4 linked regions of the Lonchura striata genome follow. The protein of the gene in region 1 interacts with the protein of each later gene in a pairwise test. Links are inferred from orthologs where the notes say so. Each region holds a gene or a part of one and is shown on either strand. Other genes may lie near its edges.

Region 1 (7,955 bases):
AGCATACCAAACAAAGGTATTTACCTGTTCTATATCTGCTAAGATTTCAGTGACACCTACTCAGTGGTCATTTACATGCCGTGCTGTGTATGCCAGTAAGAGGTATGCTGGAGGGAAAAAAACCCCTTGCAAACATCATAAATAAGAAATGAAACACTCCCCCAGACCTGGGTCTCCAGTGCACATATATTAATTACACACCAGAGGGTAAAGCCTCAGTATGTGCAAGCATTTAATTCATTATTTGCATTTATTAAAAACATTCCTTTTCACTTTAACAATAAAGTAACCCAACAGTGAAGTAACAGCAATTCAAATGCAGTCATTTACAGACGTGCGGTTTCTTGTGCCCATTGTACAGTGCAGTGCTGCCAAGTCTCACACCTTAGAAGTAAGCTCCTGCTCTCTCCTCTGTCACACACATACATGCACACACATACAAAATTTACATGTCTGCTCTCACCTATACTCTTTTGGGAAAACCCACAAATTTCATCAATCTCACTCTACAGATTTAAAAATCCTGGCAGCTTTTGAATAGCTTTTCTTCATCAGCTGCAATTAAGTGTTGGAAAAGAAATCCAAAATACACAGAAAGAAACTTTCTCCTTAATAGGAAATGTTAGCAATAGTATGGGATTTCTAATATGTTCCAAAGTTTAGCCACACCATCATACTGGAAGGCCAAGACTGCATGCCCTGTGATTAGGTTCCCTTAAATGCCAGGCAATTCAGTTTTGTCAGCCATAACATGAAACATTATTTATAACTATTCAACTGTTTTAAGAGTATAGTTAATAGTTTTCTGTAACATGATCTTAAAGAAGTTGATTAAGTGTGCTTTACAGCATGACCAGAAAGAGCTTCCGATTAGTGACATCAGTATATATATTTTACATCTCACATGACCCACACTTTTAAAACTTGGAAGTGTTGAAATAGGAGTCAAACCAAAATGAAATCAAATCATCAGAACTGAAGCATTTCCTTACCACACTTCATCAATATCATCATGTCATGCCAATAGACTGAATATCCACAACATCAAGTACCTCTCCCTGGTAATAAAACCTAGAAATATATAATTTTTCTGTCACTCACACAAAACAAAGATGGGCCTCAGAGGGGAGGAATTCAGGGATGGTTCAAAAACTCATCATGGGTTTGGTTCAGACTACAGTAATACATAAAGTAAACAAATGAAAGAAAAAAAATGTTAGGCTCTGGATTGAATAAAAGTTCACATCTATCCAAGGTTAAACAGATGTGACAGGGATCCATTTTTAATTTCAAGGCTCTAAATTACTGGGGCTCAGAGGTTGAAGAAGATAGTGTAGTTATAAAAACAATGTTTTGCAAGCACCCCAAACTCTGTTCCCTAGGAGTCTGTAATTGCTCCGTTTCCTTTGGCAATTCTGGTTAACTGCATGTTTTTATTCCTCATTCATCTCATGCCTGAGGAGGGACTAGTCTCATCCTAGCAATGTCTCAGTATAATTACAAAGCAGGGAAATTTTTGCATCCCAAACCAAATTTCAAACTTATTTGGAATCTAGTGATGTTCAAATCCAGTTACTGAATTCTGAATTCACACACGCTTTTAACTTTATTTAATATTTCTATCACAACCACAATTTTTATTTGCCAGCTTTTTATTTCCACGTCAATACCCTGGTGAAATGTATTTGACATATATTGCTTGGAGATTGTGCATATAAACACAAAAAGAGAGAGAGCAGGGATTTTTTTCAGCCTGTAGAAGAGGTGGGCCTATTGCTATCGACAACCAGCTAAGCAAAGGGTGTAGAAAAGATGGAACAGAATTTTCTCCAGAGGTCCACAGTGAAAAAACAAGACAAGAGACAAAACTGGAACATGGGAAATTGATACAAAGAAACATTTTTACAATTAGTGTTTTCAATCACTGAAAGAGGTTCTTTAGATGACATGGAATGTCTCCATCCGTGGAGACATTTGAAATGGGACTAGGTACAGCCCTGATCAACATGCTCCTTCAAGCTGCTCTGGACATCCCTTCCAACAAACATGGTTTTAATTATAAAAATATATATATATAGTATAATTAAAAAATACTTGACATTCCCAGTTTGTTTTTCTTTTAAATATGCATAAATACTGCCTAAACATTGATATTATGTGTTTAAAGTACATCCTGCACATGAAAACTGCACATAAAAACTGTACCATTTGTGGTAAAGTACTGGCTTGAACAAAACCAGTTTCCTGTTACTGAAATCAGGGATTGGAAAGCTGAAAACCAAGCCAGAAGGAGATGAGATTATTGTCACCATCCCTGTAATAAGCTTTTCTAATTAGTGTGTTAGTGTTAAAAGAATCTCAAAAGAGTAAGATTCTGTTAGAAATGCTGATATCAAACTTTTTTTTGGTTTTAAATATTTTGCAGAAATGTAAGTAAGGATAGAAAAGTAGTATTGGAGGGGTTTTTTGTTTTGTTTGGGTTGTTTGTTTTGTTTCTTTCTTTGTTTGTTTTCTTTCTGCTCAAGAGCAGGTTTCCTGAAAGATTTATATCACATGGATTAATTTCAGGACATAGTATCTGTCTAGCAAATCAGACTTATCAAGGTGGTCAATCATTAATTCTCAGCCAAGTGCAAGTATCACTGGTTCCAGTCACATTTTTCTTTATTCAGATCTATGTACAAGGACATTTATTATTGATTCTGGGATCTCTGTGCACCACTTGTCCATTTTGGTCAAGTATTTAATTTCTTGACATGGCAATAAAATTAGAAGAGGCTCTCCAGCATTTTTCTGTAAATATCTATAAATTCTAGAGGGGTAGGATTGGCATCTAAATCTAGCATGTAAAAGCATACATGAGAACACATTAAACCACACATTTATTTTAGTCAGAAATGGTTTTATATTTTATATATAACCACCATTATGTGGTTAAGAAGACAAGTTTAGAAGTTTAAAAATACTGAATTATGAGGTTAATATGGCAAGTTTAGAAATTTAAATTTTCCTGAAAATTATGGATATAGGTACAAGAAAAGGCAAGATAATTCTCAATTTATTTGTCCTATTGTTATATATACACTTTTCATGTTAATGTCAGCATTTCAGTAGGTTTTTTTACCTTTTCCATATGCATTAAGCAATAGAAATAATAACTGAATACCGAATTATGAGTAAACCATAACTGCCTTTATTGACTGAATGAACATTTATTAAGTGAACATGGAAATATCTCAAGTTTCTTAAAAAACTCAGAACTGAGAAGTATTTTTTAAAAAAATTAGGAAACAGAAGTGGGTTGTTTGTTTTTCCAGGCATTCATGTATAAAGATTTTGTTAGCTGCAAAAGAAAATATTTATTTCAAATTTCTCATCATATTCCCACAAACCTGCATTACAATGGCTTTAAATGAAAGCAAAACTACTTTGTCTTTACCAACGCTGACATTCCCCAGCTGGTGACTGTAAACCCTGAGTTCTTCCTAAGTTCCAGCCCACACGAGAACAGAGAACAGTGAGTGTCTTGTGACTATTAGACAGCTCTTTATCACATCATACAGAGCAAAGTGCAGCAAGGAGAAGAAATGGATGGCTGAGATAAGAAGGAACAGCCCTTTCTACCTCCTTACAAATATTTATTGCTGAACAAAATACTGGTCTCATTTTCCACTATAAAAGTTCATCTGGTCTTACATGACAGATTGCTCTACATACACTTCTCGTGTCTTCTAAAATGATCAGTTAGTACTATGCAGGGAATTTATTGGTTTCCAGGGAAACATGGAATGTATGGATGATATAAGAGATTATTCATTGTGGCTACAAATCAAAAGATAATCTAGTAATCTGTGACACACCTTAAGACACAAGACTGTTTTCAGAAACAAAAATGCAAGTACAATGAATTACCATAATTACTTAAATACACTTTCTATGCTCCAGCTTAGTTTCATTTCTGTTAGGATTGAACATGAAAAAACAGGTGAACTTGAAACAGAAACCTAACTCAATAATTCAAATTATTAATCATATTATTTGTAATAACACTATGTCTCTCCACATAAACTGTTTGTTTTAAATACACATGAAAACACGTAAGAAATGGTAGCAGCAAAGAATTTAAGATGATCTTGAAGACAGTTTGTAGTGGCAACGAACACTGGGTGCACTGGTCAACACCGTGACTCTGGTCAGTGCTCTACGAGCTGCTTTTTAATGAAAATGGAGAGGACCCTGTGAAATAGTTGCGAGCATAGTCAGAAAAGCCTTAATGCCCAAACCGTTTAAATCCAGATTGTTTTAAAACTATCAGATGTGGTAAAAGGTATTAATCCTGTATAAACTTGTGGCAACTAGTGGTTATGGTGGTGGAGTCACAATCTCCTAGCGGTGTTCAAGAAACAACGCGCCATTTAGCGCCACGGTCTAGCTAACAAAGTGATAATTGGTCAAAGGTTGAACGCAATGAGCTGAAAGGTACTTTCCAACCTTAACGAATTAGGTTGGAATTCTGTGCTTCCCTGGTTCTCCGAGTCAGCGTTGTGTGTGATGTAACGCCCTACCATGGCGATCCGCCAAGGTACCCAGGCAGAACCCTTTACAGCCACTCCTATCTCACCCCTCCGTTGCCCCGGGAAGACCTGCAAGGCTGGCAGATTAACGGTGATCTACAGGGTGGCGGCACGCCCGTGTCCTGACGTGGGACGGAAGAGGAGACGATTAATTCGGGTAAGTGGGTGCGACAGAGGTGATGTTGTAACCACGGACAAGGCGGGCGGGCACCGTGGGAGCGCTGTACGGAGGTGAGGGCAGCCCGGTCGGGCACACGCCGCGCACAGCACTGTGCCCGCAGCCCCGAGCCGCGCCCCCGGCCCGTGGGAAGCGGAGACCACCGGGCGGCTCCCCGGTGCCCAACCGGATCCGTGTCGGGCCCGCCCCGTGCGGGCAGGGCCGGGCTGGAAGTGACGCGGGCGGACGGGCGGAGCTGCGCGGCGCTGGTGGCCGAGGCCCCATGTTGATGTCCCCGGTGCCCTCCGCGTCTGCCTAGGTAAGAGCTGTCCGTGGCCGGCTGCGGGTCCGGGCAGGGCTGACACGCTCTTTCCCGCCGGCCTCCGGCCGCTTCTGGGCCGGGCCGTGCGGCCGGGCCGTGCGGCCGCGGCTCTGCGCCACCGGCCCCCGCTAGCTGTTCGGGCCGGCCGTGTCGGTAGGGGAGCGGCGGGGCCGGGCTGCGGGAGCCGGCGGGGCTCCCCGGCCCGCGGGGGAAGAAGGAGGCCCGGAGCCAAGGTGACCGCGTCGGGCAGGTGGCGGAGCAGCGGCGGGGAAGGGGCGGGTGGGGACCGGGGGTGTCGGGGGCCCGGGACCGCAGCTGGAGGACTCCGGGAGGAGCTGTCTGTGCTGGCGCGGCTCGTCCTGCTTTTGTTTTTCCTGCTCGACGAGCTTTTCCTCCCTTTCACCGTCCTTTCCGCTGCGCAAAGCCAAACGCGTCGTTTAGCCTTCCCGTGGGAAGCGCTTGTCACGTCGGTAATGAAGCCTGTGCGTAGCTCTTCCTCCTCCTCTCCCGTTGCCTAGCCGGTAGCTGTGAGTTAAGCAAGCAAGTACCCAGCATCCCCATAACTATCCTTGAACTGTAAGTAGATCTGACCATCACCTAAGCCCCGGGGATTTTCCTGCTAGGCAACAGTAATCCCAGATGATTGTGCTGGTCTGCACAAGTTAGATTTGTGAGCAGTTCTGCTTTAGGGTTGGAAACCAGTCTTGCCTTTACTGGTTCCTCTAGGGCTACTGCTCAGCTGCCACAGCTGAGCAGCTGACAATGTGCAGAAACAGATAATTTTTTTTCCTTCTGGTTGGGGTTGGGTGTTTTTTGTTTTTATTTTTTTTTAATTTTTTTTTTTTTTAAATTTAGTTTTTTTAATATGTGCTTAGGCTGAGCTATACAATTTTAAAGACAGATTTACTGAAAAATCAATTGGTTTTATTATTAATACTGTTTACTCTTTTTTGTACTTATTCTACCTAATGAAAATGTCAGTGTTATTTTGGTAAGTTACCGAATTACTAAAAATGAATGAATTTGTTGCAATTGAAAATAACTAAGGTTTTTCTTTTAGAGCCATAGATAGTGCTGATGCATACCATTTGTAGTTCAGACTGAAATTGAAAATGTTATTCTCTGTTTTGAGATGTGTGGGAGTTTTCAGGATTTTACTGTGCTGTAATATTTCCTATTCTGGACTATGAAGCTACATAACTGATAGGATTTATTGTGTACCCTGTTGTCTCTAGAAAACTGTATTTTGATCTTTACTCAGTTTCCTGCTTGTGGAAGTTCCTTGTTTTTCTTCTACATCTATTCATCTTCACAAGCTTTGTGTTTTATCTTGTACCCCGTGTTGGTCAGTATACAAGACTGTTTTTTTATTTAACATCTGATACATTGAAATAATGTGGCTGCCCGCCCCTATGTACCTCATGTGTTACTCTAAATTGTGCAATAATAAGCTTAAAATTTTGATGGCTTAAAACTAAAAAAAACCTTTTGTATTTACCTTTTCGTTGTTTTGGGTGATGGATACGTGTTTACTTCAGAGTGCAGTTTGTTTCAGAAAGCACAAGGTCTTTGCTACTTATTTTTTAACTGGTGAAATTTTAAAAGGCTATAGGAGGTATGCAAACACCTTTTCATATTTGAACTACTTGAGGCTTGCAGTAGCCTGTCTCCTTTTGGTTTTGGTTTCTATATGTATCTTCAATGAAAGTAGCATATTATGTCACACGCTTGGCAGTAACCTCTTTCAAGCTGTGAATGTGCTTGGTTGGTATAAAATTACTTTCAACAGCAATTGCAAGAACAGGGTAGCTCATCTTTCCAGAAATGTCAGCTACATAAGGCCCTAATCCTCCTAATATCAAATGTTTTGACAAACTGTTGATTATATAATGGAGTCAGACATTTGAAACTTTTCAGTTGCATATTATTCTATTTTTGGTAGATATTGCCGAATCTGAGGAAGGGATGTTCTTCTTCTGCTTGTGAAGCATCTTGTGTTACTGTAGTTGTAGCACTATGTATCCTGAATGAGGTGGTAAATGGAAAGAACAAAAGCTTTTGCAGTCCAACTGATTAGTGTTACTCCCTTCAACTTCGCGCATACCTCAATGTTCCTGCTATCAATGCAGGCCATTGTTTATGGTAATGAAGCTAAACACGAAGTATGTGTTACAGTGAGAATAGTAAAAGATGTCCATAGACTGCTAAACGGGGGCAGGCGAGAGAAAAGCCAGCCCAAACAAACCCTCCTATTTACATAAACTTTCTTATTTTTTAAAAAAAAGTCTTGAAATGGAACTCTGATGCTTTTACTGAGAGGGGAGGAAAAACTTAATGTGTAAAAATGCTGTGAAAAGCACTGAGCAGTACAGATTTGAGAAAAGTTTGAAGTGGTGAAACTACAGAATCTCCTTCTATAGCACGTCTAGACCATTAAGAATCTTTCATTAAATTAGAACCCTGCTTTGTTTTCACACCACTGCTTTTATTTTCCCCTTTCTGACACTGAGATATACTAGGGACATTCAACTAAGCAATGCTTTCTCTTCATCTTGATGTCACTGCTGAAATGACTGCTCTTTTTATTCTGCGAGGTGGTTGTTTTGGAGAGATGCTGAGGCAGTGAATTTAGTCTATGGCTCTCTGTTTTCAGAGCAGGGCAACTAATTATTAGGCTTTTCTGTCGTACATATTTCTACTAGATTAATTTTTGTAACTTCACTTGTTTTTCCACTATGTTCAGGTAACAACTTCTACAATTTTGTTACAGATAACCATGTCATCCTTTCAAGAAGTTCCGTCTTCAGCTAGCACTTTGCAGACCTCCAATTTTGCACACGTGATTTTTCAAAATGTCGCGAAAAGTTACCTTCCAAACACACATCTTGAGTGTCACTACACT
Region 2 (7,077 bases), on another chromosome or scaffold:
AATAAAGGGCTGTGCAAATCCTTACAGTAGTAAAAATATCTTGAATCTAAGCTGAGAATTTATTTTTGTCTTTGCAGCCAATATACATGAGCTTCCCCTACTTCATTCACAATCCTGTGAACAGTGGGTGTTTTTTTGGTCCTTATTTGCTTATGCCTCTTTCTCAGAAGCTGAGAAGTTCACTATCTCAAAGGTCTGCTAAAAGCCTGATCCTCTCTAACCATCAGGAAACACCTACCATCTCGTGGTGAGAGGTGATACTACAGCCCTCGCATGTCTCCCTTGAAAATGCAGCAGAGCTGAGGGCAGGTGAGCTCATCTGTAACTGCAGAGACTCACCAGGGATATCCAGGAGCAACTGCAAGGAAAATGATGAAGGCGTGAAGGTAGAGTTCTAGGGATCTTGGGTTTGGATAACAGTCCCCAAGTTTGGAGAACATCATACAGTGTTTCCTGGCTTTTATCTCCTAGGTAGGCAGGGATTGAATCACTATGTGCAGATCGTGGCATAACTGCCTGGGGGTGGGGGTATGCTGGGGTGTGCAGACAGGGCAAGCACAGGCACAGGTTCACTCTCCTGTCTACTGCAACACAAATGAAGGAGTGATCCTGACTACTTCAAGAAACCTAGAGTGTCATGTCACTGATTTAAGAAAGGAGGGGTGAGTATGTTTTAAGAGTTATATGGCCTAGAATTGGTTTTCAGAAGGTCTAATGACTTCTTGGTACCTTTTTTGTCCTTTGGCCTGCATATCTATTCTGTACCTTGTTTGCTCTTATGCTTCTCTTAAACATTTTGCTTTAAAAAGTAGGCATTGCAACAAAAAATAGAATACTTGTTAGTTCCTGAAGCAGCTGTATAATTTTAAGCTTTTGGATCTGTAAGCTCATTTTAAAAACCATGACTTTTTGTTTCCTGTGATTTGCAACTTTAAACTGAAAACTGGAAGATCTGAATGATCACTGAAGCTAAATAGTGACGTATCAAGGAAAAGTTATGGAAGGCCACTGATAAACTCGTGGCTAAGTAAAAGCTGAGCCAACTGGGCTGTCAGCTGAAATTTTAATGTTGGTGTACCAAGAGGACTCATGTCCTCCTTGAGTCTAAAGCTTTTCAAAGAAACTAGGGGAATAATTTCCATGAGAAATGCTGTAATGCACAAACAGCTCCACTAAAACTACAGAAGACACAACAATGTCAGTCTTTTGAAATCATAGGACATCCTTAAGCATAAAATGTCTGCTGAACAGTCCAATGTGCTAGAGGCTTTACACCTGTGGCCTGTAGTACTGTGTAATCTAGGGGAAAATAGCTATTCAGGTACAACAGCACTATAGAAAAATTAGCCAAGAGTAACTTCCATGGGAAAATGTCTTAATGGAGACTAGTGCTTATTTGTTTCAAGTCTAGGGAATTCCATTATTGATGGAAATTGTATAATTGGAACTGTGCATAAAATACCAGGCCAAATAAGTATGACTATGTATGTTTTCACCTTGACTTTCAGCCATGGCTTGCTACCCTGAGAGAGACAGGTTACAGGCTTGGCATCAAAGACAGGAGAGGCAGGTAAAATTTCTTAGGGGTAACAGGGTCCTCTATGAAATACTACATTATGGCCAAGAATAGCTGCTATATTTACTTCAGCTGAAATTGGCTGTATCTGTCTTGACAAAGCATTTCTGTTTTTCCAGCAAGCAAAATTCTGCTGGAACATGGGAAGTCTGCTGATAGGATTGTACATAGTCCCAGCAATGGCTGAGTGCACATCAAATTTAGAAGAAAAAGCCTGAATTAGGACTGGGACTGTGGAAATAAGGGAAGACTTTGTTATTTGCTGTCAGGACTGCCATTAGTAAATGGTGCTAAAAATAGCAGTCACAAGAAATCAGCAGGATCAGAAGACAGTCTATGAACAAAACAACAGCACTTTAGCACAAAGATGCTGAAGCTGTAAGCCAACTGACTCATTGTCAATGCTACATTAGGTTTGGGTGCTGAAATAGGGGCTTCCCTGCAAATTTCATAAACTGCCTATGACTCAGCCTAAAATCACATAATCAAACAGCTGTTCTGCTTCAGTAAGGAACTGGTGCATAATACAAATCACTGTATTTCCTCTGGATTGTTTCTTCCCAAAAGTAGAAGAGCCCTGAGCAAGAAGTAGTAAAGCAGTAAAACTTTATTTTCTGTGGTTCTAGAAACACTTCTGCTTATTGCTATTCCTTTCAGCATCATATTTTTTTATTCCAACCTTTCAGCATATTTTCTGTCTTTCCTGTTTGACCTGAACTTTCAAACCTGCTTTGAGGTTGCAGTCTCATACTGACAATTGAGTGTATTTCATGTATTTATGTAAGTCTGGTTTTATTAAAGTGCTCTACTCTTTCAACTAGAGTGCCTGGAAAAATAGATTCAAAGAAAAACTAAGTGGTAGTTTATTTGTTCTCTTTTTAAGTAGCGCTGTAGAATTATGTAGAACAGTTGAATAGCAGGCTTTTTTCTGGCAGCTAACTATACACTGTAGTTGTCAGTCCTCTCTCACAACCACTCATGATTCTAAGGTACCTTTCCCCAGGCAATCTGCTTTGCTGCTTTTTTATCCAAGCACCTCATTTCTACCGTTCTCCTCAAAAGAAGTGTTATCATACCTTTCTGTGAACAAATCCTTCCAGTTTTATATAGGTAAGCTGAGGTACCCATAAAAGCAGCAATCCTACAACTATCAGAAGAATTCTAGCAAGTAGATAGATGATTTGAGATGGGGCTTCTGTGTCGGTTAATTGTGGAATAAAAGACTGGATATTATCTAGCTAAGATACTCTAGTGGTCTTTGTGACAAGTGGCTGAATGCCATTCTAAATTCTCTATAACCATATACACTGCTTTTTGCAAGGCAAAGAAATACTGAATGCCTTTATTCGAACAGGAGATGGTGATTTAAGCTTATGAGCCTTTTATATTGCACTCTTTATTTTTGTGCTCATTTTTTCCCCATCCAGTGTATTAACAGAGGTTGTAGTGCTTCTCTGAGCAGACTGTTTGTTGTTACACATAATGAGCTATAAAACTGCAAGGGGCTTTGTTGGCCTTCCTGCTTACCTTACCAATCCTACCAAAATCACTCTTAGTGGGGCTTGCAAGGGGACAGGAAGATAGACCACAGCCTTGAGGCAGACGGAAGCTGGCTTGGGACAGAAATGACCACAGTCATTGTGGGTCACTGGAGAGCCTGGAGAGTTGAGCACAGAGAAACCTAATGAGGTTCAACAAGGGCCCGTGCAGGGTCCTGCACCTGTGGAGGAATAATCCCAAGTACCAGCACAGGCTGAGGGCAGATCTACTGGAGAGCAGCTTGGCGGAGAAGGACCTGGGAGTGTTGGTGGGTGAAAGCTGACCATGAGCCGGCAGCGCCCTTGCAGCAAGAGGGCCAAAGGTGTCCTGGGGTGCATTGGAAGAGTGTGGCCAGCAGGCTGAGGAAGGTCACCCTGCCCCTCTGCTCCACCCTACAGACGCCACATCTGGAGTGCTGTGTCCAGTTCTGGGCCCTGCAATACAAGACAGACAAGGAGCTCCTGGAGAGGGTCCAGTGGAGGCCACAAAGATGATTTGGTGTCTGGAGTATCTCTTAGGAGGTGAGGCTGTGAGAGCTGGGCCTGCTTAGTCTAGAGAAGGCTGAGAGGGGATCTCATTAATGCATAGAAATATCCCAAAGGTGAGTTCAAGAGGATGGTGCTAAACTCTTGATGCCCAGTGAGAGGGTAAGGCGCAATGGCCATAAACTAAACCCCAGGAATGTCAGGGAGAACTTATGCAGAGGGTGGCAGAGCACTGGGCACAGGCCTTCCGCGGAAGCACACTACACGCAGGAAGGCGCAGCCGCAGGGGACGGAGCGCAGCGCACCTCACGCGGTGTCAGCCCGCCCGCCACAGCGCCCCCTCAGCCCGGCCCCGCGGGGGGCGGCGCCTGCGCGCGCCGGGCCGGCAGGCCGCGCGGGGCACGCGCCCCAGCCCCCGCGCGGGCGGCGCCGCGGTGACGTCACCGCGGTGAGGGCGGGGCCGGGCGCGGCGGCGATGGCGGCGGCGGGGCCGGGCGGGCGCGTCCCGCGGGGGAGCGGGCGCTGCTGAGCGCCGCGGGGAGTCCTGCGGTAAGACACCGTGCGTGTCGGGCAGAGGGACTGCCTCGGTTCGCCGTAAAGCTGAAGTGGCCGAGGTTGCTTCGTCCTGTGTCCTTCCAGTGTTCGGGAGTCTCGGGTTTATAGCGGAGGACGGGGGACACCGCCAGTGTTTTGTACTTTAAGTGGTTGAAGATGTCCAGAAAGCGTCTCGGTAATTCTCTGTGCAGAATCCTTGTTCGCACTGGTGCCAGATCTCGCTTTAATTGTAAGGACTGGCCGGAGTTACCCTCATGAAAGTAACTCATGAGCGACACATTTTCTCTGTATCACAGTGGGAAGCCTAATAACCGCTTATTATTATTTTTGGTCTCTGTGGCTTCCTGTTTGTCTGTGGGAGATATTTCCAGCCCCTGGGAATGTGTGAGATAGCAGGGCACCAGGGAACCTTAACTTGCCGTGTTGCAGGTTTGGTGTAACACGTACCCTGGTGGTGGTGGCAGGAGGATACAGGAGAGCTTTGCAGTTGCACGTCCTTTGGACAAACAGAGCCTGAATTGCAGCTTTCCTTCATTATTGCGACCTTGCCAGTAAAACAGTAATAGGCAGATAAGAAAACTCCTAACTCATCACTTTGTCATAGTGCCACCTGCTCTTGGCTCTGCCAAGATCCTGAGCCAGGATCCTCTCCTAGCAGGATCTAGATTCCTGCTGCAGGCACAGGAAGTTCAGATAGCAGGATACAGCTGAGCTGTAAGTTTCGTTTTTGTGGGGTCTGCTGTTGGACTGTACAACCGTAAAGGCAAAATTATTGTTTGATTTGGTCTTTATTTTCTCCTTTTAAAAATGAAATCGATAAAACATGCCTGCACAGGCAAAAGTGAATTTATGGTAATATCCCTTGAGAAGATCAAAGGGCAAAATAGTTGTGCAGTGTTGAGACCTTATGTTCTCTGAGTTGTATTCTAGATACTGGTCTTAAGTGGGTGAGTTAATACCCATCTGGTCCAAATCTTCAACAAGACTAAGTCAGATGTTGCAAAATGGACCACTCTATTAATCATTGCAGAAGATTAACCCCTGTGGAACAGGCCACAGACCTTGGAGTTTTGATTTTGTGTTGTTTTGGAGTTTTTTCTGTTTTGGTTTTATTTTTTTTTTTCTTCTCCGTTAACATAGCTTTCTGTTCTCACACAATAATGTGGCTAGAGCCTTCACCTTTGACTTTTTCCCTGTCTGCTTGTTATCACCACATAGTTTATATGCTACCTTATTTCTCCAGTGTATGCCAGAAATAATACTTGGTAGTTTCAATTTGGCCCTGAATTTTGGACACTTTGTTAAAGGATTTGCTAAAGAAGTTGCAATGTAGCTGAGTATACTCACAAACTTTATTTCTTATTAATGTTGTGCATTTTGTTATAGTTTTATAAATTTCTGTTATTACTTGTGGAGTTCTGAGATTGTATGTGTTAGAGGAAGAAATGTAAAACACCCTCTGTTTCTCTTCTTTGCCTAATATTTCTTAGCTTTATGTAAGATAAAGGTGGAAAAGGCAAGGTCACTTGCTAAGGCTTGTCTGCCATGGTAAATCTGGGGATAGCACACTCCTGTTGACATTGTTTATCAGTGGGGCATCTCAGTGCTTTAAGAAAGCCTTTTAATTTCATATTTCAAAACTCTAGCAGAGGTACTGGAAAGATGTTTGCATACTTTCTTCTGCTATTTGTAGCTGTACCTTGGAGGGTTTTAATTCATGTTGTGTTGTTTTGTTTCTCTTTAATTAAAATTTTTGGGGTTTTTTTTGGTTTTTTTGTTTTTTTTCCCCGAAGGGGTCACTCCTTTGGTGTTGCCTGATCAGTGAGTTCTCCAGCAGTGGCCACACAGAACTGACAGACCTGAGCTGGAGGTGGGAAGATGACATCCTTAGGTGCACCACAGGAGGAAATGTGTAAACTGACCTTGGATACACCACAGAAAGAAATGCTTGAATTGCCCTTGGATACATCACAGAAGACAATCAGTAACCCGGTAACTCCTCTGTCATGTCGACAGTGTCTCCCTTGGGAGATGGGACTTTGCTGTTTTATATCAACAGTACTGTTTTGCACAGTGAGGGATGCTACTGAGAGCTCTGCATCACTCAGGTGTTTGAGGGAGAATGTCACAGGTGACATGAAGAGCTGATGGTGTTTAGAAATTGTGCTGTAAACAAATGGACAGGACTTCCAAAAGAGGACAGACGTTCTGTCAGCCTTGGAGGATAATCCTGTTTCATGTACAGCTTACACAGATGTCTGGCATTTTTGCAGAATATGCTGGAAAGTGAAAGTATGATTTGTTTTCACTCCTGATTCTCTGTAAATACGGGTGGGGTTTGGCAGCTCTCATGAAATGTTTATTTTGTTGTGCCTGTAACTTCAGTCTGAACAACTAAACTTGGAATCTTTTTTCATAGTTCATATCTTAATTCATAATAAATCCTGTTTTCTACGGAAAACTTGAACTGACATGATTCAGCAATTGCAGAGACCAGATTTGACAGGATTTTGTTTGCCTGGCTCAGAGTCTGGAAACTTTCTCTGAAAAGTTCTAGCATTCTCATGGTCTGTGATAGCAGCCTGACTTGGGCTTACCATAAAGGGGTGATCTGAAGCTGTGTTTTCTGTTGTGCCTTAAAAAAGGTCATTCATTTGAACCTGCAGGAAATAGTATTTTTACCATTCTGTGCTAGATCCCTTTAAAAATACCAAAATCAGTAAAGTATATATGTGGAACGTGCAGTGGCACAGACCTGCACAGGACTTCCTTATCTATTGCAGCTTTGCACTGTCACACTCTTGGGTCCTCAGTGAATCTGACTGTTTATTCCCAGTGTATGGTCACTGCTGCAAAGTGAATAGAGTTAGGCATGAGGTTTCAACCTCCTTCAGAAGAATCCAGCTGGGAGAGGAAGGAAAG
Region 3 (6,991 bases), on another chromosome or scaffold:
GAGGGACAGAAATGAAAGGGACAGAGGCGGCAGGAACTGGAGGAAAGAGGTGACAGGAATGGGAGAAACCCTGGAGAAAAGAGATAAGGAGGGAGGAAATGGTGAAGTGTGACAGAAAATGTGGGGCTGAGGGTTGGAAAAGGGGAACTAAGAAGACGACAAAGATGACAGGAGGGGACAAACCAGTGCCCACCATCATCATCTGCTGTGTCCCTACCGTGTACCCCTGTGTCCCCTCCATGTACCCCTGTGTCTCCGCTGTGTACCCCTGTGTCCCCTCCATGTACCTCTGTGTCCCCTCCATGTACCCCTGTGTCTCCGCTGTGTACCCTTGTGTCCCCTCCATGTACTCTGTGTCCCCTCCATGTACCCTGTGTCCCCTCCGTGTACCCTCCGTCCCCTCCATGTACCCTGTGTCCCCACATGTTCCTGCAGGCTCAGTGATGGACCTGAACCCACGCAGTGAGAGGCTCTACAGCCAGGACCCCCCAAGACCGCCCTGTGTCCCAGTGTCCCCCCGCCCCAGGGGCCAGGCGGTCTCGGGTGTCCCCAGGAGGGGCAATGTCCCTGCGTCCTGCCCAGTTCCCCCCTCAGGTCCCCCTGGGGGGATCCCACAGCTGGAGGTGCTGCTGAGGCAGATGCACAGCCTGCAGAAAGGTGAGTGTGAGGAGCCCTGTGCTCCCCCATATTCCCATGTCCCACATGCCCTCCTGTGCTCCCTCATGTGCCTGCCACGTCCCCCTGTGTCCCATGCGTCCCTCTCTCTGTCCCACCATGTCCCACAGTCCGTGAGACCACGGCACAGGAGCTGGTGAAGGCACAAGACTGCAGTGAGGGGTTGCGGCAGCACCTGGAGCAGCGTGAGTCACCTGGGGGGACACTGAGGGGTCTGGGGGATCCCTTAGGGGTCTGGAGGGGGACACTGAGATGTTTGGGGGATCCCTTAGGGGTCTGGAGGGGGACACTGAGAGGTTTGGGGGATCCCTTAGGGGTCTGGAGGGGGACACTAAGATGTTTGGGGGATCCCTTAGGGGTCCGGAGGGGGACACTGAGAGGTTTGGGGGATCCCTTAGGGGTCTGGAGGGGGACACTGAGATGTTTGGGGGATCTCTGAGGGGTCTGGAGGGGGATATAGAGAGGAGTTTTGGTGGGGGACACTGAGAGAGGGTCTGGAGGCGGACGCTGAGGGGTCTGGGGACACACAGAGAGGGGTCTGTAGGGTCCTTGGGTGGTGTGTAGGGATCCTGAGGGGTTTGCGGGGACAGAGGGCTCTGAGCTCATTGCCCCCTCCCCACAGTGGACCAGCGCAAGGAGGCACTGGAGAGGTCCTGGCAGCAGGTGCAGGGTGAGCCCAGGGGCCTTGGGGTCTTTGGGGCCCCCCCAAAACCTCCCCTGATGCCCCCTGGACCTCTAGCCCCCTTGACCCCCATGATTCCCTGACCCTTGTGGCCCCTCCTGACTCCCCCACACAGAGGGACCCCCTTGGCCCCTGTGACCCCCTGACCCCTCTGACCTCAACCCCTGTGACCCCCTGTGACCCCCTGTGACCCCCCAGAGTCACTGCAGAGAGCGCAGCTGCAAGGGAAGGAGGTGGAGGCCAAAGGCCAGAGGTGAGTGGGAACACCTGTGACCCTCCTCAACCTCACCTGTGCCCCCCCCCCAAAACACACCTGGTGGCCCCTGACCCCCCACAGGCACTGCGGGCTCTGCCTGGAGCAGCAGCAGGACATGGAAGGGACAAAGCAGCACTGGAAGCAGCTGAAAGACCTGCGCCGGGGACACAGGTGGGGCTGAGGGACACAGGTGGGGCTGGGGGACACAGGTGGGGCTGGGGACACAGGTGGGGCTGGGGGACACAGCCTGAGGGACACAGGTGGGGCTGGCGGACACAGGTAGGGCTGGGGGACACAGCCTGAGGGATACAGGTGGGGCTGGGGGACACAAGTGGGCTGGGGGTGGCACCAGGTGACCCACACAGGTCATGTGGCCACCGTGTCACCCCTGTGTCCCCTCACCCTCAGGTGGCAGCACTGCCAGCAGCTCGAGTCCATCATGGAGGAGCTCAAGCACCTGCGTGTCACACACGTAAGCCCGGGGCTGGGGTCCCTCACACACCTGGGGGTCCTGGCACACCTGGGTGTCCTGGCACACCCTGGGATCACACACCCTGTCCCCTGCTCCGTGTCCCCCTCCCACCACTGTCCCCCCACAGGCTCCGGCCCACCTGGAGGCTGAACTGGTGCAGCTGGAGAAGATGGAGGAGAAGTGGCTGAGCTGGGGTGAGCCCCTGACACCTGAATGACCCCCAGGACCCCCTTCAGACACCCCAGTGACCCCTGCCAACACCTGAGTGATCTCCTGACCGGCCCTGGGCCACCTGAGCCCCTCTCCCACAAGCCCCTGAGTGACCCCCTGGACACCTGAGCCCCCCCAAACCCAGGTGTGCCCCCTTGGGCTGACCGGTGTCCCCCCCTTGCGCAGAGCGCCGTGTGATGGACACGGAGGAGCAGCTGGGCCCACAGGCACCTGTGCTCAGGTGAGTGCCCAGCTCTGGCCCCGCCCCGCCAAGGTGGCCCCGCCCACTCAGGCCTGGCCCCGCCCCCTAACCCCCATTCTCGCAGGCGATTGGTGCAGCAGGACCAGGAGGGGGCGGAGCGACAGCTGGAGGTGGAGCTGGGCCGGCAGCAGCTGAGCCGGCAGCGCCGTGACAGGTGTGTGACCTCTGGGACAGGTGTGGGACAGGTGTGGGACACCTGGGACAGGTGTGGGACCCCTGGGACAGGTGTGTGACCTCTGGGACAGGTGTGGGACAGGTGTGGGACACCTGGTACAGGTGTGGGACCTCTGGGACAGGTGTGGGACAGGTGTGGGACCCCTGGGACAGGTGTGGGACAGGTGTGGGACCCCTGGGACAGGTGTGTGACCTCTGGGACAGGTGTGGGACAGATGTGGGACACCTGGGACAGCTGTGTGACCTCTGGGACAGGTGTGGAACACCTGGGACAGGTGTGGGACCCCTGGGACAGGTGTGTGACACCTGTGACAGGTGTGGGACAGGTGTGTGACACCTGTGACAGGTGTGGGACAGGTGTGTGACAGGTGTGTGACACCTGGTACAGGTGTATGACCTCTGGGACAGGTGTGTGACACCTGGGACAGGTGTGTGACAGGTGTGGGACACCTGGGACAAGTGTGTGACCTCTGGGACAGGTGTGTGACAAGTGTGGGACCCCTGGGACAGGTGTGTGGGACAGGTGTGGCCCTGTCACCTGGCCCCACCCACCTCTGGCCCCGCCCCCAGGTTGGCCGAGGAGCTGCAGCAGCTGCAGCGCCCCCTGGAGGCTCAGCCAGAGTGATGGGGACAAGATGGACACACCCCACGGGACACCTGTGCCACACCTCTGCGTGTTACCTGCGCGCCACCTGTGCCTGCCGTGTTCTCATGTCCCCCATTGTCCCCCTCTGGTCCCCAAAGCTCCCCCATGTCCCCCATTGTCCCTCAAGTTCCCCCCATCCTCCCCACATTTCCCAATTGTCCCTCATGTCCCCATTTTCCCCCATGTCCCCAGTTTCTCTCCAGTGTCCCCCATGTGCCCCCAGGTCCTCATGTGCCCCAAAATGTCCCGCATGTGCCCTCATGTCCCCGATGTCCCTCATGTCCCCAGTTTCTCCCCAATGTCCCCCATGTCCCCAGTGTCCCCTTATGTCCCCATTTTCCCCATGTGCCCCCAACGTCCCCTCAGGTCCCTGATGTCCCCCATGTCCCCTAAAATCCCCAATGTACCCCACGTCCCGCTGTCCCCCACGTCCCCAATAAACGCCCTGCCACCACTGCTCTCTCCGGCGTCTTTTTTGCGACCGCGGGTGGCAATCCCCCCAAACACGGCGGCCCTCATGGCCGCCATCGCTCCCCTGGCCGCCGCCATGCTGTACGTCGTTCTCCCGTACCGGAAGCGGAAGTTGGTTCCGCCCCCGCTTCCGGCCGCTGCTGGGCCTAGCCCGGAGCGTCCCTCGGAGGCGGCGGCAGCGATGGTGAGGGGGGGACCGGGGGTGTGGGGGAGCTCGGGGGGTCTGCGGTGTCCGGGGCACCCCCGGGCCTGACACCCCCGCCGGTACCCCCTCAGGACAGCGAATTCTCGGACGCGGAGGCGGCCCCGGGAGGGGAGGAGAACGCGCCGGTTTATTGCGTGTGCCGCAAGCCGGACATCAACTGCTTCATGATGTGAGGGGAAATGGGGTCCTGAACTGCTTTGTGGTGTGAGGGGAAATAGGGGTCCTGAAGTGCTTCGTGGTGTGAGGGGGAATTGGGGGGGTCCTGAACTGCTTCGTGGTGTGAGGGGAACGGGGGTCCTGAACTGCTTCGTGGTGTGAGGGGAAATGGGGGGGGTCCTGAACTGCTTCGTGGTGTGAGGGGGAATTGGGGGGGTCCTGAACTGCTTCATGGGGTGAGGGGGAATGGGGGTCCTGAACTGCTTCGTGGTATGAGGGGGAATTGGGGGGCTCCTGAACTGCTTCGTGGTGTGAGGGGAAATGGGGTCCTGAACTGCTTCGTGGTGTGAGGGGAAATGGGGGTCCTCAAGTGATTCAGGATGTGAGGGGGTCTGGGGGTCCCCAAGTGCTTCATGATGTGAGGGGGGGTCTGAGGGGTCGCAGCAGATCTGAGGGGCCAGCTGGGGGTCCTGGGTGCTTTTCAGGGTGGGAGTTGGGGGGGTCCCAGCTTGTCTTGGCCCCTGGGGCTGTTGAGGGGGTGCCTTGAAGCAGGGAGGGGTGCAGAGTCCCCCTGGGGGGCTTCGGGGGTCCCTGGCTGAGGGTCTCGGTGTCTCCCCTGTCCCGCAGCGGCTGCGACAACTGCAACGAGTGGTTCCATGGGGACTGCATCAACATCACCGAGCGCATGGCCAAGGCCATCCGCGAGTGGTACTGCGGGCAGTGCCGCGGTGAGAGGGGCTGGGGGCTCTGGGGGGCTCTGGGGGGCTTTGGGGGGGTTCTGGGGGGTCACTGGGGAGTGGCAGTGCTGCAGTGAGAGGGGCTGGGGGCTCTGGGGGGCTCTGGGGGGCTTTGGGGGGGTTCTGGGGGGTCATTGGGGAGTGGCAGTGCTGCAGTGAGAGGGGCTGGGGGCTCTGGGGGGCTTTGGGGGGGTTCTGGGGGGTCATTGGGGAGTGGCAGTGCTGCAGTGAGAGGGGCTGGGGGCTCTGGGGGGCTTTGGGGGGGTTCTGGGGGGTCATTGGGGAGTGTTGGGCTGAAGTTAGAGGGGTGGGGGGTTCTGATTTGGGGGGGTTCCAGGGACACTTGGGGTCTGGGTGGTTTTTGGGGTGCCTGATCCCAGATCAAGTGCTCGGCCCTTATGCGAGGCGGGGGTGTCCTGGTGGGGTTTGAGGGGTTGCTGGTGGGATTCGGGATGCCTGACCTTGTTTTTGGGGTGCCTGACCCCGTTTTTGGGGTGTCCCCGGTGGTGGACCCCCTGACCCCTCTGTGACCCCCCTCCCAGAGAAGGATCCGTCCCTGGAGATCCGGTACCGGCACAAGAAGTGGCGGGAGAAGGAGCATGAGGGGGCCAAAGGGCAGGAGATGGAGCAGGGCCGGGCTGCCAAGGTGGGCTCAGGGGGTGGGGACCCCACTAAGGGGGACACCCCAATGCTGGGGGGAGGCTGGGAGGTGCCTGAGTCCATTGGGATGAGGATTTGGGGGACAGCAGGAAGCTGGGGGGTGCTTTGAGGGAGATTTGGGAGACCCCTGACCTTCTCTGGGTGCCTGAGATCCCTTCTGGATTGGGTTTTGGGGTGTCCCGGGTGGACTTTTGGGGTGCCTGACTCAATTTTTTAGTCTCCTGACCCTATTTTTGGGGTGTTTGACCCCAGATCAAGCACTCAGCCTGCATTTGGAGATTGCGAGGTGGGGGTGTCCCTGGTGGGATTTAGGATGTCCCTAATGGAATTTGGACTGTTCCTGATGGATTTTGGTGTGTCTAACTCAATTTATGAGGTGCCTGACCCCATTTTTGGGGTGTCTGACCCCATTTTTGTTTGCCTGACCCCAGATCAAGCGCTCAGCCCGTGTGTGTGGGGAGTGCAAGGCGGAGGTGACCCTGGTGGGATTTGGGGTGTTCCTGGTGGCTTTTGGGGTGCCTGAATCCATTTTCGGGGTGCCTGACCCCATTTTTGGAGTTCCTGACCCCATTTTCGGGGTGCCTGACCCCGTTTTTGGGTGCCCGACCCCAGATCAAGCGCTCGGCCCGCATGTGCGGGGAGTGCGAGGCGTGCCGGCGCCCCGAGGACTGCGGGCAGTGCGACTTCTGCCGGGACATGAAGAAATTCGGGGGCCCCAACAAGATCCGCCAGAAGTGCCGCCTGCGGCAGTGCCAGCTGCGGGCGCGGGTGAGCGGGCACCCAGCGTGTCCCCAACGTGTCCCCAGTGTGTCCCCAGCGTGTCCTTGGTGTGTGTTGGCAGTGGGGTTTGTCCCCTGTGTGGCGTGGCCTCAGTGCCTGCCAGGGCTGGGGGTGTTGGGGTGACCTTGGTGTGTCCCCGCTGTGTCCCCAGTGTGGCTCTTTGTCACAGTGTCCCTGTCGTGTGGCCTCTGTCACCACCTCGTGTCCCTTTGTCACCCTGTCCCGTGTCCCTTTGTCACTGTCTTGCTGTGTCCTTGTGTCTCTTTGTCACCTCATGCCACATCCCTGATGTGTCACGCTCGTGGCATGTCCCCGTGTCCCCCACTGCTCACGTGCTCTATGTCCCCAAAAACTGCTGCCTGTCCCTGTGTCACCCTGAGGTGTCCCCAAGTGTCCCCATGTCTGTGTGTCACTGTCCACAGTGTCCCTGACATGTTCCCAACATCTGTTATGTCCCTGTGTCACCTTGTCTCGCTGTCCTCACGTTCCATGTCTGTGTCACTCTTATCAGCGTGTCCCCGATGTGTCCCCAACATGTCTTGTGTACCCAAGTGTCCCGTGTCCCTGTGTGTTCTTGTTCTCTGTCTCTGTGTCTCCATGTTCCT
Region 4 (7,782 bases), on another chromosome or scaffold:
AGAGCAGGAGCTGCTCTTTCGTGGGAAAAACACCAAACCGGCGGCTCCTGGGGCGCATCCTGCCCCGCCTGGCACCGGGAATCGGGGCAGGGGCTGCTGGGGGTGCCACAGGTGCAGGGATGTCACCTGCCCCGGTCCCAGGTGGCGATGCCAGCTCCTCGGAGGTGCCCGGTGCCGGCAGCTCGGCTCTGAGCCGGCCCTGCAGCTGCTGCTGCGGCCAAAGCCAGCAGGGAGAGAGGGGCAAAGCCCAGGCTTCCTCCAGCCACACAGCAGCCCCTCTGCCCCAGGCCAGGGTAAAGGCTGAAAAGCTGCTCCACCCTCCTTCCTTCCATCCCTGGAGAGATCCTGCACTCCCTGCTCCCAGATGGGCCGGCTCCATTCCCATTCCCCAGCTCCATTCCCAGCCCCATTCCCATTCCCCATTCTCCCAGAATTCCTGGGAGAATTCCTTCCTCCACCAGGATTCCTTCCCCAGGACCCACTGACCCTGACAGCTCATCCTGCTTTCCCCAGGAGGAATCCAGGATCCGGCCGGGGCCTGCTTTTGGCTGCCTGATCCTTTTGGATCCAGCTGATTCCCACAGGGAGCCCTCCCTGCAATTCCCTCTGCCTAGCACCGAGGCCGTGCCTCAGTTTCCCCTTCCCCACGTGCGCACAGCTGGGATCGATGACCGCCCGGATGCTCCCAAAATTCCGCCCACAGCCCCGGCCCACCCAGCGGGACCCCCCAAACGCTCGGGGGCTGCTGGCTCCCCTCGGTTCCCCCAGCGGCGCTGGAGCGGGGCCGTGAGGCCGCAGGGCTGGGCCGTGCCCGGGGCAGCCCTGCCCTTCCTGATTCCCTTCCCAGGCTCCTGCTCCGTGGGAATGAATCATCCCACCTGCCAAAGCTTTTCCCTTCCCTCGCAGCCGACCCAGAAACAGAAGAACCCGGAGCAAAGGTGGTGTGGCGGGGATGTCCCCGTGTCCCCGTGTCCCTGCTGGGCTCCCAGCAGCACCCCTGCCTCAGCCAGGTGCCCTCCACACCTGCACGGGGACCGGCTGCTGGGAGGGCTCATCCCTCCTGGCTCTCCCTGGGACAGGGCTGCTGCTGCCCCAGAGCCAAACCCAGCTCGGGGCGGGTGGGAATAAACCCCCGGGCAGTGGGGAGCGGGTTGCAGGTGCTGGAACTTGCCTTGGCTGGAATATACTGCAGGATTTTGTCCGTGGTCGTGTCTCTCTCCTGGCCTCCGTCTATCCCAAAGAAGCTGGGCAGCTTTTTCTTGCCATTTTGGCTACAGAGGGAAGGGAAAAAAAAACCCAAAACACACATGGAAACAGAGATCCAGGCTGAGGCATGGTGAATCCTGCCCAGAAATAAGGAAGCCATGACACCAAGCAAGCAATTTGTCACAAGCTTTCGAGTCATCCCAACCCAGCCAGGGCTGACAAAGCCTTGGAGGACTGGAACAGGATTTTGCTGCATTTGTTGGGGTTTTTCTGCTTTTTTACAGCTCTTTGCTCAGCCAAATGATCATCTTCACTCATCTTGTGCCCCCAAATGAGCACAGGGCCTGGATGTTCCATGGCAGAGCACAAAAATCAAACCCAGCTCCTGGAGAGCCCCTGGAGTGGGGATGGATCCGCACAGATCTGTGGCAGATATTCACAGGGAGAGCTCATTTCTGCCATGGTGGCTTCCCTCTCCCTTCCCTCCACTCCCCCATTTCTCCCTGGGTGCACACCAGTCCCAGGCAGCCACTGGTGCTGCTGGGAAGAGCTGGGACTTCCTCAGATTGCAGCAGAAAACCAGGAGAATCCCCACGGGCGTGGGAAGCCAGGAGTCAGTGGGACAGGAGGAGCTCTGGGGCTTGGCTGCTCCACCACAGCATCCTGATGTGAGATCCCCAGAGCCCAAACACCCCGAGGGATCCCCTCTCTTTTACCCCAAACCCCTGAGGGATCCCCTCTCTTTTACCCCAAACACCCCGAGGGATCCCCTCTCTTTTACCCAAACTCCCGAGGGATCCCCTCTCTTTTACCCCAAACACCCAAGGGATCCCCTCTCTTTTACCCCAAACCCCGAGGGATCCCCTCTCTTTTACCCCAAACCCCAAGGGATCCCCTCTCTTTCCCCCAAACACCCCAAGGGATGTTTTACCCCTCTCTTTCACCCCACAGGAACTCCTACAGGTTTGCCCCTGATTTCTGGCAGCACAGGACACCAAGGGAGCAGTTCAGGCTCTCCTTTCAATGAAAAACCCCTTGTCCTGGCAGAATTTTGGGGGGATTTGGGGGGTTTTTGGGTGGTTTTGACCCCTGACACTGAACCCAATGCAGACAGGTTCATGATGAATCACCTCATTCCCTCAAAGCTCTTTTCCAGCTCTGGACGTGCTGATGGGAAAGCTGGGAAGCTGCACTGCATTCCCTGGCTGTCCTATTTTGGGACAGCCACCCACGGCCACGGTACCTGAGCTCTGCCCTGGCCAGCCCAGCACCCAAATCCCAAAAGATTGCACTGAGATTTTCTGCCGCTCCTCCTTTGGGTTTACAAACACAAATCCGATGGCGGGGCGCTGGGATTTTGGGGCTTTTCCCCTAAAGTCTGAGGAGTGGGAATGTTGTTTTCTCACAACAGTACCACAACTGTGAATAAGAACACTCACAAGTGAAAACAGGGAATAATATCAGGTGCTCTGCACCCTGGCCCGCCGGGGGAAGCCTTATTACCCAAACAAAAATTAACTCAGCGCCGCTTCTCCCGAGGGCTGGCGTTCCCTGCCGGCTGAGAATTCCATCCCCGGCGCTCGGGGCGAGCTGGTGCCGGGCTCCGGCAGTGCCCAGCACCCCCAAAACCTCCGGGAAATAGGAAATCCCCAGCGGCAGAGATCCCGCCGGAGATCCAGCCCCGCTCCCGCATGCCGGAGCCGGAGGGGGTTACTCACTCCTTCTTCAGCGAGGGTTTCCTTCGGAAGGAGCTCCTGAAGCCGCCGGGAGCCTGCGGGACGCAGGCGATGTTCCCCATGCCGGGCTGGCTGCGGGATCCGTGCGGGATCCGTGCGGGATCCGTGCGGGATCCGTGCGGGATCCGTGCGGGATCCGTGCGGGCTCGCTCCGGCCGCTCCTCTCCGCCCGCCGCGACTCGAGTGGGTGTGGGCAGAGCCCAAAGCCGATCCTGCCCCTCGCTCCCGCCCCGGGGCTGGGAGGGGCGGGCCAGGTACCTGTTCCTGGGAATCCACCCGAGCCACCGGCATTCCCGAGCCAGCGGCGGCGGGGAGCTGCGGCCGCCGGGAACCCGTCCCGGGGCGTTCTCCCAAAAGGAATTCTGCCCAGAGACCCATCCCGAAAGGAATTCTGCCCACAAACCCATCCAGGAGCATTCTCCCAAAAGGAATTCTGCCCACAAACCCATCCCAGGGCGTTCTCCCAAAAGGAATTCTGCCCAGAGACGTATCCCGCAGTGTTTTCCCAAAAGGAATTCTGCCCAGAAACCCATCCCACAGTATTCTCCCAAAAGGAATTCTGCCAATAAACCTATCCCAGAGCGTTTTCCCAAATGAAATTCTGCCCACAAACCCCTCCCGCAGCATTTTCCCAGAAACCCAACCTGGAACTCTTTCCCAAATGGAATTCTGTCCCCACAAACCCATCCCACAGCGTTTTCCCAAATGGAATTCAGCCACTGCACCGGGTGGAGATAAGGATGCAGTGAGATAAAGTCGGTGGTTGTTGTTTAAGCATTAACAAAAACCCCTGGGGTTGAAGGGTTCCAAAGGGTTCCCCCTTCCCAGTGCGGTTAAAGATATTAAAAAAAAAATGGGAAAAAAATATCAAACGGGACACTAATCAAAATCTAGAAATTATAGGAGACGGATCAAGGGAGCAAAGAGCAAAAGGAGATGTGCATGAGCAGCAAAAAAAGAATATTTGTAGCAGAAATGCTTTAAAAGGAAGCAAACAGAAGATTTCTGACCGTGCTGAGAGTGCATCACTGCATGGAAATATAAACAATAAAAATGAGAAGTTAATGACAAAAGGTAAATGCAGACTCAATATTTCTGTGCTGGATAAAAAAACCCCTCAGGAATTACACCCATAGGAAACGAGAAACCCTTTCCATTTTCAGGTGGCTGCTAAGAAGTAAACACAAAAAGAATGCTCTGGATCAAAAAATAGAGAAATTCACATCAGAAAGTTTGAAAGAGCTGAACACAAAGGGCTTGAGTCACTGTTGCAGTTCAGTCTAGCAGGACCACAGAATTTGCAAAGAAATTGCATAATTTAACAGGGATATCAATGTTTCCATGGGTAAAAAACCACCCCAGTAATTATGGGGTTGCCAGTTGACAGTAATTCCTGGGAAAATGATGTAACAGCTGTGAGGGAGTTGGATTAACTTTGAGAATTACAGGAGGAGAATATAATTAATACAAATTAACATGGGGCTGTGGAAATCAGATCTTGTCAAAACTAATTGAATTGATGGCATGTTTGAAAAAAAAAATCAGATTTAGTGAACATAAATAACAGTGATGTAAGAAACACCATAAAGGATGTGGTGTGACAAATCTGCGGGTTATTTTAGGAGGTTTTCCTGGAGAATCTGCAGGAATCTAGCTGTGATAGACACACAGGGTGTGTTGGACTGTTCCAGTTTGTGGTGGTTTCACCCTTGCACTAACAAAATATTCCCCAAAAAGGGATTGCACAGTCAGGCCACACTCGCCAGGAGGGAGCAGCTGAGAACAGGTGTGCCATAGAATTTCTCCCCATTTCTGACCTTTAAAAGCAGCTCCTTTATCCCCCTCCCCTTTGTGTCCAGAATCCATTAACCCTTCCTGGCCCAGCACAGCAGCAGGGCACCCCTCCGGAGGGCCCCCGCCACAAATTCCGTGATTTTCATGGCAGGAGCTGCTCTCTGCTCTCTGCACCGCTGGCAAACAGCACAGCAACAGCCCAGCACCTCCTGGCCGGGATCAGACACCGCAGCACACAGCCCCAGCTGTGTTTTGTGCAGAACAGTGTGATTCCCCCTCGGACCCGTGGCTAACACGGTCAGGCCGTGACCACAAACGTGCTGTTCCTCTGGTTTGTTCTAAATAAAACCTCCCGGCTCGGAGCAGGGACACAAGCGCTGCCGCAGCTCCTGCTGCTGTCACGGGTCCTGCCTGCTCCCTGGGACAGCAGTGACACCAGCAGGGCTGGCAGGGCCAGCTGGCACTGCTGCCCTCAGAGGCTGCCCTGGAGCAGAGGCTGGGCAGGGCTAAAGGGATAGAGCGGGGTTTAAAATAAATAAAGGAAGTTAAAGGCTAGACAGAGTTCAAGGAATAAAGTGGGGATTTATTTAAAGGCCTTCACAGGATACACCCTGGGCAGTACAGGAGCCTGGCCGTGGCTACAGCCAGGATGGACTCCAAGTCATGAGTTTCAGACTTTGATAAGTTTGGGTCCATTTCCATATCGGGGTTCATTGTCCAATTCCAGGTTGTGCAGTCCCATCCTCCCACTTTACTCTCCTGTTGTTGGCACTTTTTGGGGCTGAAGCTGCAGCAGTGTCCTTGGTGCTGGGGCTGGAAAAGGATTGTTCCGTGTGCCTGAGCTGTGAGGAGAACTTGCTGACACTTCATGTGAAGCTCAGCGAACCAATGCAGCAGAGAATGTGGAAAATCTGAAAAGTAAAACTTAAGGCATTCCACCGGTGGCTGAGGTCAGGCCCGCCACCAGCGTGAGGGCACAAAGCTCTCCCAGAGCCCACAGTTCTGCTTGCAGGAGAGCCTGAACTGTTGGGAAGCAGTCCCTGGACTCCAGGAATGCTTTTCGAGCGTTCAGTTATTTATAGGAGCCAAAGCAGGAGCAGGGGCAGCAGGAAAGGGCACACGGGGCTGGTGCCGGGCCAGGAATCCCGGCTGCCCTCAGGCCCCAGGGCTGGGCTGGTGCCGGGGCGCCGTGAAATGTGAAATGGGCTCAGTGTGAAATGGGCTGGGGTGAGATGGCCTCAGCATTGCCCCTCGTGAAATGGCCTCAGTGTGAAATGTGCCTCAGTGTGAAATGGGCTGGGGTGAGATGGCCTCAGCATTGCCCCTCGTGAAATGGCCTCAGTGTGAAATGTGCCTCAGTGTGAAATGGGCTGGGGTGAGATGGCCTCAGCATTGCCCCTCGTGAAATGGCCACGGTGTGAAATGTGCCTCAGTGTGAAGTGGGCTGGGGTGAGATGGCCTCAGCATTGCCCCTCGTGAAATGGCCTCAGTGTAAAATGGCCTCAGCATTGCCCCTCATGAAATGGCTTCAGTGTGAAATGGCCTCAGCATTGCCCCTCATGAAATGGCCACGGTGTGAAATGTGCCTCAGTGTGAAGTGGGCTGGGGTGAGATGGCCTCAGCATTGCCCCTCGTGAAATGGCCTCAGTGTGAAATGTGCCTCAGTGTGAAATGGGCTGGGGTGAGATGGCCTCAGAATTCCCCCTCGTGAAATGGCCTCAGTGTAAAATGGCCTCAGCATTGCCCCTCGTGAAATGGCCTCAGTGTGAAATGGCCTCAGCATTGCCCCTCGTGAAATGGCCTCAGTGTGAAATGGCCTCAGCATTGCCCCTCGTGAAATGGCCTCAGTGTGAAATGGGCTGGGGTGAGATGGCCTCAGAATTGCCCCTCATGAAATGGCCACGGTGTGAAATGGCCTCAGAATTCCCCCTCGTGAAATGGCCTCGGTGTGAGATGGCCTCAGAATTCCCCCTCGTGAAATGGCCTCGGTGTGAAATGGCCTCAGTGTGAAATGTGCCTCAGTGTGAAATGGCCTCAGAATTCCCCCTCGTGAAATGGCCTCAGGTTCCCCTGCCCCATGAAATGGCCTCAGTTCTCCCCTCTGTGAAATGGCCTCAGCATTCCTCTGCCCTGTGAAATGTCCTCAGTATTCCCCTCCATGAAATGTCCTCAGCATTCTCCTCCCCTGTGAAATGTCCTCAGTATTCCCCTCCATGAAATGGCCTCAGCGTTCCCCTGCCCCATGAAATGTCCTCAGCGTTCCCCTGCCCTGTGAAATGGCCTCAGCGTTCTCCTCCATGAAATGTCCTCAGTGTTCCCCTCCTGGGCCAGCAGTTCAGGAAGCACGGTGGGGCCTGTGTCCCCAGCCTTGGGGCCATCTCCATGTCCCCGGCCATGGGGCCATCTCTCTGTCCCCAGCCACAGGGACGGGCTGAGGTGGCAGCTGGAGGGGGTTCCTGGCCTGGTTCTTGTTCCTGCTGCAGGGCGAGCTGGCAGGGACTCCTAGGGACACCAAACTGGGCTGTGATGGTGGAAATCAGCTCTGGAGCCTCTGGGGCTGGGGCTTTTCCCCGAGGTCTCCAGCGTGTTCTCTCTGTGATAAAGGGAAGGGTGACACAGAGGGGACACTCCCAGCACAAAATCCCCACTGGGAATACAAAACCCCCACACCCACCCAGGCCCCCAACACCCTCAGCTGAGTCTGGGGTTGGGACTTGGCAGAAAGCTGCTCCTTTTAGCTCAGCTGTGCCACAGCAGGGCCTTCCAAACTGGTTTGGGCCCCTCTGGCCTCCTCTACCAACACCCCCCCAGCAGGGCCAGTCCCAGCTGGGCTCCAGATGGGAGTTCTGAGCAAACGCCTCAAAGCTGCACCCAGGCACATGAGATCTCATAGAATCACATCCCAAGTCACAGGGGATCCACTAGATCAGGGTCCAACCCCTGGCCCTGCTCAGACACCCCAACAACCCCACCCTGTCCCAGGAGATGTCCAAAAGCTCCTGGAGCTCTGGGACCCCTTCCCTGGGGAGCCTGGGCAGTGCCCAAC

What was found.
Region 2: the proteins of TAX1BP1 (region 1) and LGALS8 interact in binary tests that used the Homo sapiens proteins (3 or more experiments, as listed by UniProt). The link is inferred for Lonchura striata from reciprocal best matches to the Homo sapiens genes TAX1BP1 and LGALS8.
Region 3: the proteins of TAX1BP1 (region 1) and CXXC1 interact in binary tests that used the Homo sapiens proteins (3 or more experiments, as listed by UniProt). The two-hybrid records come from large-scale screens. The link is inferred for Lonchura striata from reciprocal best matches to the Homo sapiens genes TAX1BP1 and CXXC1.
Region 4: the proteins of TAX1BP1 (region 1) and PLEKHN1 interact in binary tests that used the Homo sapiens proteins (3 or more experiments, as listed by UniProt). The two-hybrid records come from large-scale screens. The link is inferred for Lonchura striata from reciprocal best matches to the Homo sapiens genes TAX1BP1 and PLEKHN1.

The regions. Positions count from the first base shown.
Region 1 is NC_134603.1:123,123,128-123,131,082, reverse strand, and holds the start of TAX1BP1 (tax1-binding protein 1), read left to right. Parts: upstream 1-4,938; 5' UTR 4,939-5,050; intron 5,051-7,823; 5' UTR 7,824-7,829; coding exon 7,830-7,955.
Region 2 is NC_134605.1:45,720,429-45,727,505, forward strand, and holds the start of LGALS8 (galectin-8), read left to right. Parts: upstream 1-4,058; 5' UTR 4,059-4,149; intron 4,150-4,309; exon of another isoform or gene 4,310-4,330; intron 4,331-5,948; 5' UTR 5,949-6,033; coding exon 6,034-6,147; intron 6,148-7,077.
Region 3 is NC_134638.1:856,179-863,169, reverse strand, and holds the start of CXXC1 (CXXC-type zinc finger protein 1), read left to right. Parts: upstream 1-3,976; 5' UTR 3,977-4,029; coding exon 4,030-4,032; intron 4,033-4,124; coding exon 4,125-4,222; intron 4,223-4,836; coding exon 4,837-4,937; intron 4,938-5,488; coding exon 5,489-5,592; intron 5,593-6,218; coding exon 6,219-6,374; intron 6,375-6,991. UniProt on the Homo sapiens protein: Transcriptional activator that exhibits a unique DNA binding specificity for CpG unmethylated motifs with a preference for CpGG.
Region 4 is NC_134626.1:860,709-868,490, forward strand, and holds the start of PLEKHN1 (pleckstrin homology domain-containing family N member 1), read right to left. Parts: upstream 3,005-7,782; coding exon 2,925-3,004; intron 1,272-2,924; coding exon 1,172-1,271; intron 1-1,171. UniProt on the Homo sapiens protein: Controls the stability of the leptin mRNA harboring an AU-rich element (ARE) in its 3' UTR, in cooperation with the RNA stabilizer ELAVL1.